Linked DNA regions of Bombyx mori. The protein of the gene in region 1 purifies or fractionates together with the protein of each later gene. This does not show direct contact. Links are inferred from orthologs where the notes say so. Each region holds a gene or a part of one and is shown in the gene's direction. Other genes may lie near its edges.

Region 1 (3,759 bases):
AGCTCTAGCAATAAATCAACTGAAGCCCGAAATTTATGATCTCGAGAGAGTGCAAGGCAAGTCTGCTTTTGCATTGTAAGTTCTCCTATTGCAAGTTCGTGAAATGCAATCTAACATATTTTTTTTATTGCTTAGATGGTTGGACGAGCTTTACGCCCCACTCGGTGTTAAGTGGTTACCGGAGTCTATAGATATGTACAACGTAAATGCCACCACCCACCTTGAGACATGAGTTTGAAGGTCTCAGTTTTAACAGTATAACGTCAGCCACACCCTTCAAACCGAAGCGCATTACTGCTTCACGGTAGCAATAGGCAGGATGGTGGTACCTACCCGTGCGGACTCACAAGACATCCTAACAACACCATTCTTTAACTCCGTATTGACTGATTATCGGAAGATATAATATGAGCATCACAGCGTGTAAGTAACCATCCATTTTGATTGAATTAAGGATTCGAAGTCTCAACTGTTTTGTCTATTATCTTGCCCTTTATACCGAAACGAATAACTGGTAGGTGGCAATAATAGGAAGCTTGGTCGTAGATACGTATCTACAACCTACGCTATACCGCCAATAATTACGAATTATAAATAAACCATAACAATCAATATCACAATCTTTCAATCCTTTTTCAGTATTCGCAAGTCTAATAATTAATAGAATAATTTTTTTTGTGCAGTGTTTCAATAATTTTGATGGAATCAGATGTCCTTTATTTTGAGAATATTTTTATTACACCAATATTGTATTTCTTCTGACAAATATTCTGAACCTGTGAAATGGTTTTTTTTTATCTAAGCTTGAGAGCTATGTCAGTGTAACTTATTAAGTAGGTGAGCTCACGGGGATCTAACCTGACGACGTTGCTAACACTAACCCTAGCAAGAGCAATACTTTGCAGAATCTACCACGGGATCGGAAACGCGACCCACTGAAAAGATCCGGCGAGAAATTCAGTGGGCTTTATTTGTGGGTTATTTTACTAGCCGAGCCTTCGTCGCAAGCGATGGGTTCAACGAGAACGATGAATGATGACCAAACGATGTTCAAATTCATGAAAGTGCACAACGGGTAGAAAAATGAAACGAAATCGCTACATGTGGTTTTTCGGAGTCTTTCAATTAACGTCTCAGGAAATAAACACGATTTTACTGAGAGATCATATCATAATAACTAGACTCTACAATACTCTACATGGGTAGGTACCAGCGTACTGTGTATTTCTGCCGCCAAGTAATCATGCATTCTGATTTAAAGGGTGGAACACACTTTATAGTGTAAAATAGAAAAGTGAAGTTAAAGTTGGGGGCAGCAATCACTTTGTGATGTCTTTAAGCTCCGGTAACTACTAATAGGCCTTGAGGTCATTCACCCATCTTCATAAGAAAAAGTAAATCATCTCATCTCGTTACCAGTAGTAAATTTTATTTTATTTCTTATAACGTAAATAGGCTACGGCCTTATAAAACAAAGTTTGTAGATATAAATTATACTGAAACTCACTTTAAAACTAGAAAAACTGTAAAAGTACGAGAATAAGTTTCTCTATATCATAGAGAAAAATATTTCAAGGCTCTACTAATTATTAGTCTGTGCTTGCTGTGGAACATAGTCTATGACTTTCACGTTTGTCGTCTGCTGTATTGGAAACATCAAACAATGTTATTATTTTTACTGTAAACATTGAATGTAGTTACCACGTACATAGTAGCGTTTTTGATACAAGAAATCCCAAGAGTCGCAGCGTTGGGGGGTCGTTTGTCCAGTTCATATGATATAAGGAAATAATACATATCGTTTATATTAAAAAAAGCTGTTAAGCTATATAGAGCTATGGCGTCACATTTAAGTACTAAAGATCGCTTATTGGCACTAATAGATGATATCGAACTTATTGCTAAGTGAGTTAAAACACGATTGAACTGTGGAAAACATTACCGATCAACTTCATGTTCTAATTCTTTAAATTTTCAGGGAAATAATAGAAGTTTCCATAGCACCAAAACCACAGAAAGTGTCCGCTGCAGATCATGCTCAGTTGACGGACCTACTTCTATCAAAACATGGAGAATTGAAAAAAACATTAGACCTAGCTGACGAACAAGCAAAGATCCAACAGAAAATGAATGAACTCAAAGCTGAAGTAGATAGTAAGGTAAATACTACAAAAGAGATTTATTTTAAGTAAAAAATGGATAAAATTTTGGAGTGGACTGACTCATCCACTGCTAGTTCACAACAATTTAAGCCACAAGCGAATTATGTAATTGAAATGTTTTTGTTGTGTTACTAAGGATCAAGATATATATCACCTTCAAAGACAATTGAAAGATGCAGAACAAATTCTGGCTACATCACTGTATCAAGCTCGACAGAAACTTGCATCAATAGTGAAGTCTAGAAAGAGACCTGTACCCTCTGAGGAGTTGATCAAATTTGCACACAGGTTAGTAAACAATTAAAGATTTCTACATTGAAATTAAATATTTTTTCTGAGTCAGGTCCTTAAAACACATGATGAGTACTCCTAAATATTGAATATTAAATATTTATGATCTCAACAGAGATTTCAAACCTGACCAATGACAACAGTGAGACAATGATAGTAGGCACATTGACTAACAAATAAATCAATGAGATGTTTAGTATATTAACAGTTGATTAAGTTTATTAATGCAAAAAGTCTGAATGGATATTAGGTATTGTGTCTGAATAGCCAACAATGTTATGAAAATAACTATCTACAGAAAACAGTTTCTTTCATAACTATAGAGTTACACTTTAATTAAATTACATTAAAAAGAATTTTTAAATATTAGACAGTACACTATTTTTGATGTGAGAACTAAATAGTACTTAAAAAAACTTTTTTTGACTTACTGATATTTTACAGAATAAGTGCATCTAATGCTGTCAGCGCACCTTTGTCGTGGCAACCTGGTGATCCTCGTCGGCCTTATCCAACTGATTTAGAAATGAGATTAGGAATGCTCGGTCGCCTCTGTGATCTGCCATTGAATGGTCACACGCCTTCTACACTGAATGAACTTCATCGTATAACAACTGGTGGAGGTATAAATGCATTACTCATTATATTAATGAATCATTCTTAGAACAAGTTGCATATGTATAGAACTCTTTGTGCAGTACATATTTATACAATTCTAGTATTGGTACTTTATCGTTATAGTTAATTTGATTCATCTACAATAAGCATGTATTATCATAGTTATTAATAGCTATGAGAGAAGTGGGTGATAGGGAACACCAAACACCTAAACTACTCAGCAAGTGCTTTGGCAGATATATCATGTTTTGGACCACTGTATTAAACTCAAATATACAAGAATAATATTTTTCAGGAAAGTTGAATTAATGATCAAATTTCTATAGGATTTGTAAAGAATAAAAAAAATCTCCTATGTTATTGCCACCTCTTTTTATTAATATTGTCAACAGAGGCTTCCTTCAAAACCCATAACCCATGGAAATTATTTAAGAATATTCTTATCATCAGAATTTTACAGAAACATTTTACCCTTTTGTTAATTGCATTAGGTAAAAAAAACATGTAAAACCATTTGCTTGTTAATCAGGTTTACTGTGTTATATTATTTCAGTACCAGCTTCAGCTTCAAGCCAATTCACTTGGCATCCATCAGGCGAGCTACACATGTCTGTTGGAGGCGGTAACTCTGTAGCTATTGATGGCCGAGGGAAGGATGCTCCCAACCAAGAAGATGTTGAAGTTATGT
Region 2 (3,659 bases), on another chromosome or scaffold:
CAAGTTATAACCGGAGAAGTTCGTGGCTGGCCCGGGGGTGAACTAGCCTCATTGGGTGACGTGTTACATATGGGCAGCGTGGCAGTGGGCCCGTCCCATCAGGACCGCTACCTTGTACTCTTCCCATCAGCGCTGTTATTACTTTCAGTTAGCAAAAGAGTATCTGCATTTGTGTATGAGGTAATATTTAGTTAATAGCTTTAACTACAGAGTTCAAAGTCGTAAATCATTTTAATTATGACAACCGGATGGTCTAATTTAAAAGATTTGAAAGAGAAGAGTGTTTTCTGATGCCTGTTATGTTTTCTGCTGCTTACAAATAAAGAAATTATTAAATTGACGTGAAATGTAAACTTTTTTAGGGATGTCTTCCACTGACAGGCATCACAGTGTGTAAATTAGATGATACTGAAACAAGAAAAAATGCATTTGAAATTAGTGGTCCCATGATAGACACTATAGTGGCAGTGTGCCAAACAAAAGCTGAGGCTGACAATTGGGTCAGTTTGTTACAAAAGCATTCTAACACGAACAGTCCAACACACGAGCCTGGACAACCGCAGTCATTACCTCATGTAAGTTACAATTCCACATTTTCCATAATACTATATTAGAGTAATTTTTTTAAACACATGCAATGGCACCACTTCCATTTTCTTTACTATGTGTGCCGAAACCATGTTTCCGAGACGTACATAAGTACAGTCAGACTCAAAATTTAAATATTTTCGACAAAGAAATTTACTATACCCGAGAATCGAAAGCAGACCCCGTGATACAGCTGTCAGGGTTGCTGCACCGTCGACGCGTTAATTTCACTATTGATGTTGATTTTGTATTTTTAATTTAATCGTAAGATAATAGACATTAAAAAACAATTATAGTACATTACCTTTCCTCTTGAAAAAGATATATACTTATTTTGTGATATTGTTACTAGCTGACCCGCTCTCCTTCTGAAGGAGCGTTGTCTAGTATCAACTCTAGCCGCCGAAGTCTTTATCACGTGACGCTACCACCTCCCAGCTACCCTTCTGCATCTCCATATTATTCATTAACGAAATATTTTGCGAGACTTGTTAAGAAAAAAGTTATAACAAAACAAATGTTGCGTAAACTATTGCACGAAAGAACATGGGCGAAAGCGTTCGAATTGTCAGGCTTGCCTATTAGGAGGAGACACAAAAATCAAATTAGGCTAAAAATTGAAAACGACGGCACCATCGGAACTGAAACAGAATATTCGGATAGCGACGATAGCGACAGAGAAGGCAACACTAGCTCGAATTGTACGGATGCCGAAGCAGCAGGCTGTTTGAAGGTACTGAGGCAGGATGCTATGGACAGTCCCAGAACAATCTCCTCTTCGTACAGTAGTTGGGGTAGTAATATGGGCTACGTGCGGTATTTCGATAACAATTCAGATATGCATTTAGAAGAATCACAAAATCTATCGAATTTGACATTAAAGGGAGATTGCACCAAAGATTTGTTTCAAGCGATGTATGGTTTTAATGAAATAAACAGTGAAAGTGATCGAAACCTGGATTATGATATAGTTAATGCACAAAATGTATTTGGAGGGTTTCCTGATTTACAAGAATATGAACCACATTCCGAAAGAATTGAAAATTCAAGCTTCGAAGCTCGACCTTACATGGCTTGTGAAGATTTAGTGAATATGGATCAAAATACACAAATAGAGACGCTAGGAAACGATGACAAAGATTTTTTACCAACAAGGCGAAGCTATCCCAACTGCAGCGTAAAGGTCGACACGTTGCCAAAACAATGGAAATCGACAGAAGAGAACTACACTACTAGAGACAGCGGTGGATCCTTAACATCCAACTTATTACAAGTTTTAGATCCGCCCTCACCAAAGCGATGCAGCCATGACATTGATTCCCTCATAATAGATCCTCCTCCAATGTTTCGAAATGAAGATGATATGAAAGTTATTAACGTAAATCTGAACACAAATGTTCCATTTCGGAAACATTCGCTAAATTCTGATAAAAAAATCCGACGTTCTATGTCAAGATCTATGGTGGAGACAGAAAGTAACAGTAATAAAGATGACGGAAATCGGGTACAGAGAATGAGTTCACAATCAGATAATGATAAAATCCACAAGAAGTGTGAGTGCTGTAATAGATCCTTGTGTCCTAGTCCAAGATCCTCAGATTCAGGTGTTGTGGGTAGTTGCACCCTAACATCACCAGACATGCACGATTATGCCAGCTCAGGCAATACAGGAAATGATTCCGATCATAACGAAAAGATACCTGATCGGAATAACATGAGAACACCAGAAGAGGCTCGTGACACAAGAGGTCTCCGAAGGAAACTGACACTGTCAGATATAGAGGCCGCTACTTTTGAAGATCAATGTCGGTGTACATCTCCGTTCGGTTCCACGGCTAGAACCTCTTGCGTTACGAGTGTGACTTCGGAGAACAGCTTAGACGTAACTGATACATCGAATACCCATCTAAAGTCAACGTTTGCCGCCACACCTCCCGTACCGACTTCACAAATCAAAAGAACGTCTATAAGGAGGAACATTGAACGTTATGTACCAGAGATTAAACTGAAACCGGAGCCGCCGCCGAGAGTATACCGAAAGCCTAGCACTCATTTGGAGGTCCCTAAGAATGTTCGGCAACACTTACCTTGCCAATGGGGTACCTTGAATATTACCGAGCGTTCTAAGCCTAGTCTTCACTATCACATGCGTATATACAAAGATACTTCGGAAAACGTTAACGATAGAAAATCGCGTGTCAACACACCGCGGAATCGCGACATATTTTGCAACGATAAGAAACAAGATAGCAATGCCGATTTCGAACAAGTGCGAAAAACAAGGTCTCGCAGCGAAGATCTGTCGAAATTGCAGAAGGGCTTAGCTGAAGGGCAGAGCGGTTTCGTGGTGTATCGTTCAGATTTGTACGCTCACTGGTGGATGAAGGCAAAATTACCGATAACCGTGGTCACCGACTCAGGCAAGGATTATTCTTTTGTAAAGAGATACTGTTTGTGTATCACTGGTTTGAAGATAATATTGCCTTGAAGTTTGCAACCATTAGATTAATGCTGTTATTAGAGTTACCCCATCGATGGAGTGCTTTACTTGATCATCCTTGCCTGTGTTTATTCATATTACTAACTAAAAAGAGATCACTGCAAGTAGATATCATATGTTTAATTGTACTAACAACAAAATCCGATACGTGATGCATGGAAAGGCTTGCATACCTTGTACTTCCCATGAATTGGAGATAAAAACCAAAGAGATATAAATCAAATTTGATTTTTTCACTTATTTTAAATGTCTTAAATCTAAAAAAAATTTTGATGTTAATACATTGTTATTCAAATGCTGTTCAAATTTCAATTCTGTGTTTGTTTACGAGATAAAAATACAGAAACGGACAAAAACGATACTGGATGTTTAATGTCTGAATATTCTGCCGCTCAATACAATATACTCGACTAAGAATGTAATGACAGTAATTTTCTTTACAGATGGCCACGAGCGAGAATAATAACTCTGATTTATCTGGTGGTTTAACGAGCCACAAACGATCACACTCATTCAACAATCATCAAAGCTACACACAACACGCTCAGCAAACGCAGAAAAACAAACAAAA

The links.
Region 2: the proteins of mediator of RNA polymerase II transcription subunit 4 (region 1) and rho guanine nucleotide exchange factor 7 purify together in Homo sapiens (affinity purification with mass spectrometry; 3 studies listed by BioGRID and IntAct, with this or other methods). This does not show direct contact. The link is inferred for Bombyx mori from reciprocal best matches to the Homo sapiens genes MED4 and ARHGEF7.

The regions. Positions count from the first base shown.
Region 1 is NC_085112.1:8,190,205-8,193,963, reverse strand, and holds the start of mediator of RNA polymerase II transcription subunit 4, read left to right. Parts: upstream 1-1,581; 5' UTR 1,582-1,837; coding exon 1,838-1,905; intron 1,906-1,978; coding exon 1,979-2,159; intron 2,160-2,298; coding exon 2,299-2,450; intron 2,451-2,897; coding exon 2,898-3,076; intron 3,077-3,624; coding exon 3,625-3,759. UniProt on the Homo sapiens protein: Component of the Mediator complex, a coactivator involved in the regulated transcription of nearly all RNA polymerase II-dependent genes.
Region 2 is NC_085110.1:9,314,550-9,318,208, reverse strand, and holds part of rho guanine nucleotide exchange factor 7, read left to right. Parts: coding exon 1-180; intron 181-362; coding exon 363-575; intron 576-3,531; coding exon 3,532-3,659. UniProt on the Homo sapiens protein: Acts as a RAC1 guanine nucleotide exchange factor (GEF) and can induce membrane ruffling. Functions in cell migration, attachment and cell spreading. Promotes targeting of RAC1 to focal adhesions. May function as a positive regulator of apoptosis.